Linked DNA regions of Drosophila melanogaster. The protein of the gene in region 2 interacts with the protein of the main gene of each other region in a pairwise test. Each region holds a gene or a part of one and is shown on either strand. Other genes may lie near its edges.

Region 1 (4,853 bases), about 14 Mb from region 2:
TTATTGGCCAAATATGTTGTCGAATCAAGATCTCAGTCTGAGTTTAATCGTTATCCTGGCCGTAACTACGGTTGGTCAGGCCGCGCCTTCCATATCAAGGGTGGTCAATGGTACGGACTCCAGTGTGCTGAAATATCCTTTCGTGGTAAGAAAATGTTAAGTGAAATATAATCCTTAAAAAAAGTATACAAATAGGATATATGATTAAAATATACCGGAAGTGTCCCAAATGAGGACAATTACTTAATCAACGGATTTCTGGTATTTTCGGATTAAATATTATTTATATTTAATTAATAATGTCAAGATACTATATTTTCTGTTCCAAATCGTAGGTATCCCTAAGGAGCTACGATGGCTCGCATTCCTGCGGTGGTTCTATTATTTCAAAACATTTTGTGATGACCGCTGCTCATTGCACCAATGGTCGACCTGCGGATACCCTATCAATTCAGTTTGGAGTGACCAATATTAGTGCCATGGGTCCGAATGTGGTGGGCATAAAGAAGATAATCCAGCACGAAGACTTTGATCCCACTCGCCAAAATGCAAATGACATCTCGCTGCTGATGGTGGAGGAACCTTTTGAGTTCGATGGCGTCTCTGTGGCCCCGGTGGAACTGCCAGCTCTGGCTTTTGCTGTGCCTCAATCGGATGCTGGAGTCGAAGGAGTGCTCATCGGTTGGGGTCTCAATGATGTGGGTTTCGATTGGAAAATATGATTTTAAATAGGATTATTTCATAGTGTGATCTTTTCTAGACTTATGGAAGTGTGCAGGACACCCTACAGGAGGTTTCCCTGAAGATTTACTCGGATGAAGAGTGCACCAGCCGGCACAATGGCCAAACGGATCCCAAATATCACATATGCGGAGGAGTAGACGAAGGAGGAAAGGGACAGTGCAGTGGAGATTCGGGCGGACCCCTCATCTACAATGGCCAGCAAGTGGGCATCGTGTCGTGGAGCATTAAGCCCTGCACCGTGGCTCCCTATCCGGGTGTCTACTGTAAGGTTAGCCAGTACGTTGACTGGATCAAAAGCAACCAAATCATATCGGCTTAGTCACAAAGTATATTGTTCAATAAATTGAAAATTAAAGCACTTAATAAATAATCAGATTGGCAGTATTTACCTGTTCCTTGGGGGGCGATAAGCAAATTATCTGTGCCATTATTATAAAGGCGTTAAGGGGCCACAAATCTTAGGAATTATATTCTTAACTATAAAATTAGCATATTGCTATTGCTGCTAATGAAACAACGTTGATTTGGCGCCAAAGCAGTGGTTTTAGTTATCACTAGGCAAGCAGTGCAAAGCAGTGCTTTGGTGGACTTATGGTGTTCATCAAACTGTAGTTGAAATTGGCGCTAGGTTCTGGTATTCATCAAACTGTAATTTAAAATGATTGTACGCATTTATAATTTAACGTAATATTAATTGTTAGGGACGAATTGAATTTTGATTTATTTTTAAATTATTTTTTACTTTTTACGAGTACATTAATAGTAAGAACAAAAGAATTAAGCGGCTTCCAACTGGATTGCTATGTACTTTCTGTGCCAATGAAAACCATACATTTCATCACCCTTATTACGGTTTTCGATGGTCTAGGGATGGCTGCAACTCCCTCGACTACAAATATTTGTGCTGCCGACCTTCATTAGCACTGAAATGAAGAAGTAAACAGTTTGAGTAGCACTGGGTCACTGGACCAATACGAAGTCACCCGACCCGAATCGAATCGCTCATCCGCCCCGTCGGCTGCTGCTGCTGCTGCGGATGCTTCTTCATGCTGATGGTTCTACGGCCGCGGTTTCAACTTCTGGCACTGCAGTCAACATTTTCAACTCAGACGGAACGCACGGTTTGGCGGACGCAGTTTGAAATAATTCAAAAGTTTGTGTCCGTTAGTTTTGTGTTTGAATTCAGAGTGTAAAAGAAAAGAAAAAACACATAAATCGAAAATCTCGATTGAAATCTCATGAAAAAGCAATTTATACAAACGCTTGTGAAATATTTTGAAGAGCATAAAACACAGTTTTTCTTATTTATTCAAATCCAAAGATCATGTCGACGATGTTTCTGCTGTTTTTGTGTTATTACGCTTGCCATTGAGGCGGCCAAAAATGTGCAAAAAATATTGCATTTGCCATAGCACCGAATGCGGAAGGTCGCCCATTATGACGGACCAAAACTCATTGCATTCATTCGTTTAATTAAAAAACAGAAACAAGTAAAAAAGGAAGAACAGAAATGACTTGTTAATTGGCTGCTGCTGCCACTGCGAGGGCCACACGGCGTATGCGTGATACTAGGGATTGCTGATTCTCGAGCGGAATAAAAGAGCAGAACTGCAAGCCCCAAATTGATCCAGCCCCCAGTTACCCAGTTTTACCCAGTTTTCCCCCGGAGCCTCATATGTATTTCAGCAAATCAAATCAAAGCCCAAAAGTAGGCAACAAAAGAACACAATGAGATCCGTAATACGATTTTGGCTCCTGCCGTTCCTCAAAGTATTTTCGGAAAAATTCGTGGAAACACTCAACGCTGAACGCATAGAAAAGTTCTTTTAAACACCCCTTTACCTCTTCCCTCCTCCCCCGCCTCGCACGCACACACACAAACACACTCGCATTCGCGCATTTAACTTACAACAAAAGCAATTTGAAAACAATTTTTCGAGTTTCGAGAAAAACGTGTGGCCCCGTGCGGTCGTGGCCTACATGCTTATAGGCTAAAAAAAAGATGGAAAGCTGGGCGTGGCATCTGCTGGCAATTTGTAACATTCCAAACAAAAGGTGCATGCAACAAAAGTTCCCAGAGCATTGAAGGCTTTTGTGATTTACGCGACATCCTGAGCTGCAAAAAAACAGCAATAGTTGTCACTCCTTTCTGAAAATGTTATAAAATTTCTCATTAAAAAATAAATTTTGATTGACTACATTGAAAAGGAATTTTGCATTGTAGAAATAACACAACTACAACACGAAATGATTGCCTTAATAGTATAATATTTCAATTTTAGCACGAACATCGTCGAAGATCTTTGGCAGAACCCTTTAAGCAATATAAATAAACGAAAACAACAATTAAGCTAATATATTAACCGACTAACAACAGTAGAAACAAAGTCTTCCAAAAAGCGGAACGATTCCACTGAGAGGAACAAAGTGAAAATTGCGATTTCAGTGAGTGCAGTTTGTCAGTTCGTCATTCTGCCCATTTGTCAGTTCGCCAGTTCGCCAACTCGCCAGTGTGTGTGTGCCAGTGTGTTAGTGAGTGTGAACTCTGCGGTAAAGGTCAGAACTCATATGAAAATGTCGAGCGGCAACCAAGAAGCAATGTCAACAAAAGCAGCTGTCAACTCGGTGAACGTGGACGAGGACAAGGCCCCGTCAATGCATATGCATTCAACATCCTCATCAGCCCCAGGATCGATTGCGTCCAGCTACCATGTGAAAACGCTGGCCATTCTGGTGGCCATCGTCTTGTGCAGCGGCAGCTTGGGATTCGCCGACGGGCTCAAGTGCCACATGTGCGGCCAGTACAACGAGGGCGTGGGCTCCATTACGCCCTGCACCAACTACACCACGGACATTGCCCATCTCTACCTGAAGGAGTGCACCAAGAAGAGCGAGAAGTTCTGCGTGGTGAGTCCATCATTTAACCCCAAAGATCTGAAAATATCAGCAAGTTCAATCTATTGTATTGCAAAATGATTGAAATTTTCAATCAAAATATCAAGTTAAATACTGCAAAAGCCTAGAATATTATTGAGCTTCAACTTGAATTTATGAAATTCCTTGAAGTCCCTATCAATTTTTTCCGTAAGAAACTATTGAAAAATACAATTTTGATCAATTGTATAAATTCGTTGATAGCAGGTTTTTCATTGCTTACCATTATTGGTGGAATTGTTCGTTCGTTCTTATTTATTTTTGTCTTTGCTTCGGACCAATTGAACCGAAATTGAAACGCTGCATTCATTTATTTATAGACTCATTCATTTTGGTTCATTGCTACTCATTGTTGTCATTGTCCGGGCGAGCAAAAAAAAGGCAAACCAAGAGGCAAACAGCGATAGTCCACCAGCTCCTCCTTATCCTCCTGCCCATCCTGCTCCTCCTGTCCCTTTCCGTTTCCTTCCTGCCATCCATCTATCGATGACTTCTCGAGTTGATGTTTCCATTTTATTGTTTTTCTCCCGTACCCATATTGATTGTGTGTGTTCTGTGTGGCATTATCTCTGTATATTTCTTACGAAGTAATATCGTTGGCAGTTCTGCTGTTGTCACAGTTTTGTTTCCAGTGCTCATCACAAAAAAAAAAAAACGGAACTATAAATTGGTTATAAAAACAAAGTGAATCATTTGAATTTGCAGGGAGATTGAGATTTGTGAGCACATCGATTTGGTTTTATTTCCCAGCAGCTTTAGAAGAAAATCAAATGGGACTTTTAATCCCAAAAACATATTGTCGTTAAGTAATTACCAAGGACTTTCCTTTATCGGGTTGCTGATTTTATAACTTAAGAGCAATAAATTTTTCAAATTGCTTTAAGGTTTTTAAGATCTAAAGCTTGGTTTTGGCTGCATTGCACTTAACAACGTTTTAAAAGGATACTTACTGTTTGTTAATTTTAAAAATTGTTAATTGTTATTTTTAATGAGTTGAATAACTTAACTCATTAGATCATTATAGCCCACCATCTGAGTCATCTAGGTAAAAGCTTTGCGCCATTAAAAACGACTCACATCTTTTCGTGATTGCGCTACGTATACGCGCTGTGTACCAATTTGCATGAAACACAAAATGAGGCGGCGTTGTTTTTTTGAGTGGCAACCCTGCTCAT
Region 2 (4,033 bases):
AAACGATAATAACTAAAAAAGTAATTGTTAATATTTATGCGCTTGCGACGGCACACAAACACAAGCAAATAAACTATGTACAATGAAAATATATTTACTAACAAATGTTATTTTTAACCAAAGCCATAGAGGTCAGATCTTGGGCTCCTGCCCGACCAACTGATCTGGTCCCTCATGTAATCTATAAATCCAAATATTTAAATTGAAACCATGCATAACAAGTATTATATCAGACATATGAGTATTTTAAATATGCCTAAGACACATTGTATACAATGACTGCTAAACCGACAAAACAAATCGTTCTCGTGAACGACAAATAATACGAATAACTCTGGTAAATGAACCCTCGCCAGAGGGCTGACAATATATGTACATTAAGTTAAACATTCTGCTGGCTAAGAAGGGAATTAACAATACACAAACTGACATATACATGTATGGGAATCTAAAAACACACAATAAAAGAAATAACAGATAATAAAGGACACACAGACCAAAAACTCATGTTTTTTACAATTATTCAGCGTGTATTTTGTGCTACTTTAAAGGACATACTGGCTAAACACACTTTCGAGTGCCGTACAAAAAACTCAACGTACAAAAACGATTACCGACTAGCTTAAAATTCTGTTCAACAAATACGAGTACACGGATTGCAAATACAACGGCGGACCGACTACTTGTTCAGTCTTCTCTTGGCAAAGATCTGGTAGATGCCCAGGCCAGCGGATAAGGTGCCAATAGCACCCACCTGCAGGGTGGACAGCTTGCCGCCCCACAAATATCCTTTCGGCAGCGTGCTGACGGCGTGCACAAAGTCGAGTGAGATCCGAACGATGGACACCATCTCCAGGCGGTGCTTGGTCAACGTTTTCACATCCAATCTATGGATTTGGAAGGTTTGTTAGCTTTTATTGGATGTTTTCGGCTGACGACCACTTACTCGTTTATATTATTCGTTCGGTTCAGCTTTTCCTGATTCAGTGAAAAATTCCGCATTGTCCTAGAAGATGCAATTTAATTTGAAAATTCAAAGCTGACGATTCGAATAATTCTTCTGTACCTCATGAGGTTCAGGTACACCGAAAGCACCCAGAATATGGAGTTGACATTGTCCCAGTTATCCGCATTCTTGACATCCACAATCTTGTGCTCGGCCAGCCAGCACACCTTCTCGATGGGATAGTAGAGCAAATCCACAATGTTGGCCGTCACTCCCAGCACTTGCATGACGCGATCGGGCTCATTCTCGCCCAAGCCATACTCCAAAGCATATTGGATCATGGGTATGTCGTCGATGAGACGCAGTGTGGCTCTCGCACCTGAGATCCTTGAGCTGGCGGTGGCGTATCGCTTGGCTAGTTCCGGATTCCGCTTGGCATGGTAGCCAGCCACCAGTTTGGCACTGTAGCACAATGCCTTCATCACCTGAAATAGGTATTTAATTTCATATATGTAATAATTGTTCTGCGCAATTCGTTAAGCCGTGTGTTTGCTCTATCACGAGAGTTGGCATCGCTGTTTACCTTTGCCTCTACCTGACCCCAATCGCCAGTCAGCCCTGCAATTTGTGGAATTGCTTGGTTGTCACAAACAGATAAAATACTATCAGCGATAAAAAGAATACAACGAATGCCACAATCATCTCGTGTGATGGCCGCCAGTGGAGTGCTCCTGGTCGTCCGTCCTGGCCGGAATGAGTTGTGGGTGGTTTCATTGTTTACCCATTAATGGTTCAGTTTGCTTGCTTTGCCATCAATGAATTAGTTATGCAATTCGGAGGAATACTAATGTCGCTATACGACTAATTTATGTAAATATCCTATAGTATTTCCAAAGTTCGTGACCACCCCATTCGCTGTTTACAGCCACATAATATATTATATTATATTTTCAAATGGTTATCAAGTATAACAAATTATTTGTTCTAATTAATAAATCTAAAATACTTTGAACAATATTTTATCGTATTCAAGGTTCGATTTTTCTATTAAAATAGAGATACACTATACAAGATTCCCTCTTTGTCTGCACTGTATACACCCCTTGTAGGGGTATATAAACTCGCGATGGTGGAAATGTGTGGATCGCGTGTCTCCTGATGGGCGGCAGTCCAAACAAACCTTTCGTTCATAACGAATTATCCGCTTTATCTGGTAGCGGCTTAAAGGTTTGCCGGCTATAGTATTGAGCATTATCTTGACTCGATCGCCGCCGAACTGCGACTGATAAGCGAAAAGCGAAATACAAAATCCATTGCGAATCAGAAAGAAGTAAGGCAAGGTCCAAACTGCTGTGGCTTCCTTGTTCGAGACCCAAAGACCAATGCCAACATCGATGCAGCAACAACATGGAAACCTGTTGGTTCAGTTTCGATTTCAAGCGAGCCCCTCAATGGACCAGTCCAAAAAGGAAATAGAAACCAGTCAAAATGCCACGATGCATTTTTTTAAATTTGCGCATACGAATTGGGAAAAACACTCGGTTCAAACGTAAACAAACAGGTGTGTTTTCAATTAATTGGAAATTTACTCGGCTGTGCGGCTCTTCTATGTTACCTTATCTCGCCCGCCATAGGAATCGATAATATCACAGAACTCGTTCACAAACTTTGTCGTGGTGCCCATAATGGCTCGTTTTTTGAAGACCAGGTACTGTTTTATATCACGTAAAAACTCGAACTGAGATACCGCAGCGAAAATACAAGAAATTGTCAAGAGCGCTCGGGAATCCAACAACACAAACAGCTGACTTTCTTCAGTGGTGACAATAGCCAAATAAACTAGCTAAGAATAGAGAATATAATAGAGCTAAAAATAAAAAGCTAGTTAATATAAATAAAATATAATATAAATATAAGTTAAAAATGTAAAAATAAATTTAAAATTAAAATATTTCAATATCAATATTGTTATAAAAGAGAAGCCAAATAGCCATCACTGACGAAAACAATTTTGAAAGAACAGCTGTTGCAGCCGCTTAAAATCGATGAATGCACATCGATAGGACAACCCATCTCCGCTGTCAGCACTATAATCGAACGCATATCGGACGCACTGCAGGACGGGATCAGGATACGGAACAAAGCGAGGCTAACACGCAACGATGAGCCTGCCCAGCGCCAGCAACCACGCACATGCTGCATCGCCCGTCTACAGCAACAGCAATAACAACAAGTCGAGCGCGAGCAGCAAAAAGACCTCCTCCAAAAACGATTTGCTACGCTGCGCCGTGGGACTCCTGCTGAAGCAGAAAAACTACGTGGTAAGTGAATAATCTTCAAATATACAATTCCTCAGAGTGTTCAAATATTCAAACCCGTAGAGCAACGAACGATTTCGGCGGTCGGATTTTTTGCTGCTGCAAAACAAACAGCAGTTTGCTGTCAACAAAATGCTGGATACGGATTTGCACGGTGGCAATAGCTTCACCTTTTCAAATGTCCAGGTTATCACCAACAACCAGCACACTGTGGACCAGCAATTTGGTCGGTTTTCGCAGTTCGTGGAGGCCCAGGCCGAACCGCTGCGTCTGGAAATGAAGCGCTTTTATGGACCCATGCTGTGCCACTTCTATCTGGATCTGCTCAAGGCTCGCGAACCGCGTGGCGCTGTGGAGTTGTTGCGCAAATATGCTCACTTGGTGGCCCCCGTGGATATGTACGATGCACCACCACCTACCAAGATCAACGGATGCTCCACTACGGCCAATGAGTCCACTTTTAACATACGCTTCGCAAAGGAAGCCCAGGACACTGGGGACACGGAACTGGACTACTTTATGCGCCTGGTGCAAACCCTGAGTGGCTACACACGGCTGGAGGCAGCAGAGTCCGATGACACAGTGGCCCATTTTCGATCTTCGAAATACGAACTACATACTACAGCCGTAGTTGTTAATAGGATATGCGCTTATCTCCAACGACGGGGCCACGTTTTAATTATGAACCTACTCTACACCTGGTTGCATGTCCATATAGTGGAGAATGAGCAGCGCGCCTTTAGTGAGGATCACCTGCTTGGCTTGACGG
Region 3 (3,278 bases), on a different chromosome or scaffold from region 2:
TCTGATTGGTGAAATTAAGCGCTTGGCCACGAATTTCGACTACTTGGCTAGAAATTTGTTGTAGAAGGCAGGCAAAAGATTTGAAGTAATTCTGGCAGTGCTACATTAATTCGTTTTTTGTTTATTTATATTCTTTTCTATTTGTTTTTTGATTCGAATTCGTTGGGCGCACGGTGCGTATGCGTGATTGGTTAATAAAGCTAAGTTATTTTACATGGACTGTCGACTAGTTGGTTGCATTACTATTTTGATCATCGTTTGGTTACTTACGCGCTGCACTCAATTCAATTTATCTTGTGTGTGGCTATCAAAATAGAGAACAACTCGCCTAGAAAAGCCTGCCCTGAACTGCGCTCTAAAATTATGCATATATATTAGGAGGATATATATATATATATGAATGGTGTCTGTTTTCGGGATATATATATATTAATATATTTCAATTTTATTTGGATTTAAGGTTTGTGTTTCGTTTGCATTGGTTTCTTAGCTAGCCCCTCCAATTGCGCGATTGGCAGCCAATCGCACCTCAGTCGCGACGAAAAACGACGACGACGGCGCGTTTACGGATACGGATACGGCTGCGGAAGTACGGCTACGGCTACGGCTACGGCACTACGGCTACGGCTAATTTGTCGAACGGATCACCCAAGAGCGGAGCTGGCGAGCCGCGTTACGTATACGTCGAAGTGCAAGCACGTGACTGACTCGGAGCGACCGTTGCACGCTGCTTTTATAAACAGCTACATCGGGAGATGGCTCGAATGTCTGGCAACGCTTCGCATGCAATTTTCCGCGCGCGCTCTCTCTCTCTCTCTCTCTCTCACTCTCTGTCTCTCTCTTGCTCTCTCTGAAGTGACTTTTCCGAGCCCTGTTCGGCAACAGCTGATTCACTTGCAGGCCCAGAGGTTGAGGTTACAGTCAAAAGCCTGATGGTTTTTCCCAAACTCCCACGCAGTAATAGTTTGTCACACCAGAAAACACAGAAAATCGCACAGCACACGGTGTAATTTTGACTGAGTAACTCTCTTGTGAGGACCGCAAAAAAAAAACAGGGACCTAGCAAATGCAGGACAAAATCAAGCCAAACAGCCGCACTGACCACGCACAAGCTAATCTACCGCAGGACTAAGCGAAAGGCGAAGGACGAACCTGACCCACAGTTGGCTCCTGCTGGCGGCTTTCAGTGCTCCAAAAAGCGAGGGAGATGGCGAAACGCTTGGGTCACATGCGCAGTCGCCAATCAGCTGTTTGACCTACATACGAGCGCCAGTTCATCTGTACTTTCAAGCGTGCAAACGGGGGGCGTGTCGGGCGTCCCGACCCCGCCTAATGGAACTCATTAGATCTCGGCCATGAAAAGTTCACCCAAAAAGCTGTCAGCAACAGGTCTGTGGAAAGCTAAGTGAAAGCTTTTCCATGGCATAAACTTAACTTCGAAGTGGTTTCTTTTGCTGCTTTTCCAGCTTTATCGTGGTATATTTTCCCGCTAAACTTTATAGCTTTTCACCCCGACTAAATCGAAACTCACCTGAGCCCTTATGGCCGCCAAATGGATCTGCTTGGCTCGCAGGTCGAACTTCTTCATGGACAAATCTTCTTGAAGCTCATTGACCTTGTTGTACAGCTGACCCTCGATTCCACGGGTCTGCGTTCGATTTAGAGCCTCGATGGAGTCCTACGAGAGGAAAAGTAACCAGTCAAATTGATTATTTAAATAAATATTTTTGTAATAGATCTTGTAAAAGTTTACAATTTTTAAGAATAAAATGTATTTGTAATATTATAGATCTACTTGTAAAAGAAGGCTAGTTAAAAGCTTTCATAGGCAATACCCCAAATAACATATATTTAACTATCATTAAAAGCAATTTCCTGAAAATGTCTTCTAATGAGAATTGCCAAGGAAATCGCCGCATTTCGGAAAATCAGCATTGGAACAACATAAGGCTCAATTGTAAGGCCCTCCCAAGATTGAAGAGCTTCTTCTACTTTTTCGATTTGGAAAAAGGATGCAGGATTATAGCGGGCTTTGAGGCTTTGGTGAGCGTAATACAGATATTCAGTATATATCGTTTATCCAATCAATCAGTGCCAAGTTATATGATACCTGATCCCTTTTGGATCACAAAAATCGATAGGGAAGGAATAATCAAAAGAATGTTGCTTTATCATACAAGTAATCGTTTTTGCATGGGACTCGGATTGGTTACTGTTCTCAATTCTCTGCTGTTGCTAATTGGAAGCAAATGGGTGAGAGTCAACAGATGGTATTCGAATATAAAGGCTAATACCCATACTTTTTCGTCAAGGGCCACCAGGTTTGCCTCTTTCTTTGGATTTATATAACGGTATTCACCACTCTCATATCGAATATAAATAATAACTTAAGGAACCCAAATTTTGCACAAACTTTTCTAATAGTTCCATCATTGAGTAAGTGCCAAAACGTGAAGTCATTGCAAAAAAAATAAACAATATAACCTCTAACAGCTCTGGAGGGCTATTTCACATTGATAGTCGCATCTTTAATTTGTAAATTCCAAGACAAGCAAGATGAGTGTAACTCATACACCGAAATGCACACTTCAGATGGCAAAGAGTGCAGTTCTATCGAGAATACCGAACAGATATAAGCGGTTTTTTAATTGTATGACTTTACATAGTTTTTTGTGAAAGTTAAAGGATAACAGAAAAAAAAAACAATTGTGATATTGGCCACCCATTCAAATAAAATCTTTGGAAACATAACAAACCATTTTTTTTAAGTACCGACATGGCTGCGATATCGTACTGTGAGCTTTTATCATTTTGTGTATTATTGTGGATTATTCATCTCACCTGCAGCTGACGTATTTGCAATTCCAATTCGATGGCCTCCCGCTTCAGCGACTCCAACGCGGAGCGTTGTGACAGTGTGGAGTGCCGGTCGAAGACCAACTCGTTCCGCAGGCAGGGCGTCATCTCCTGCGGCGGACAGGTGCCCACAAAAACAATCACTTTAGTCCGCCGGACAGGTGTTATATGCACTACTACTCACGTTGTGGTCGCCCGCCTCCTCGCCGACCTCTGCTTGCGGCGATGCAAAGAGCCGTCTGGGAATCTTCTGGGCCTGCGATGGTTGGGCCAGGAGCCGGACGAAGTTCACTAGATCCTGTTGAGGTGAGACAGCTGCGCACTGGTTGCTCAGACTGTTGTACCGCTTAGCTTGGTCATTGGCCTGCGGAAAAATTATGATTTGGACACATTATTGACACAGATGTTTTGGTTTCCCTTAA

The links.
Region 1: the proteins of Pex11c (region 2) and CG8861 interact in a two-hybrid assay, tested with the Drosophila melanogaster proteins (one large-scale study listed by BioGRID).
Region 3: the proteins of Pex11c (region 2) and CG30472 interact in a two-hybrid assay, tested with the Drosophila melanogaster proteins (one large-scale study listed by BioGRID).

Annotation. Positions count from the first base shown.
Region 1 is NT_033777.3:9,325,486-9,330,338, reverse strand, and holds the start of CG8861 (uncharacterized protein), read left to right. Parts: upstream 1-1,827; 5' UTR 1,828-1,897; intron 1,898-3,007; 5' UTR 3,008-3,318; coding exon 3,319-3,651; intron 3,652-4,853. Other genes in the region: CG12951 (uncharacterized protein), read left to right, coding at 14-145, 336-698, 761-1,063.
Region 2 is NT_033777.3:23,257,075-23,261,107, reverse strand, and holds Pex11c (peroxin 11c), read right to left. Parts: upstream 2,229-4,033; 5' UTR 2,199-2,228; coding exon 2,127-2,198; intron 1,432-2,126; coding exon 1,067-1,431; intron 1,007-1,066; coding exon 947-1,006; intron 888-946; coding exon 680-887; 3' UTR 506-679; downstream 1-505. Other genes in the region: wda (will decrease acetylation), read left to right, coding at 3,109-3,267, 3,328-4,033.
Region 3 is NT_033778.4:15,422,659-15,425,936, reverse strand, and holds CG30472 (uncharacterized protein), read left to right. Parts: upstream 1-1,797; 5' UTR 1,798-1,881; coding exon 1,882-2,253; intron 2,254-2,312; coding exon 2,313-2,436; intron 2,437-2,493; coding exon 2,494-2,636; 3' UTR 2,637-2,752; downstream 2,753-3,278. Other genes in the region: Stacl (Stac-like), read right to left, coding at 1,532-1,678, 2,842-2,967, 3,041-3,220.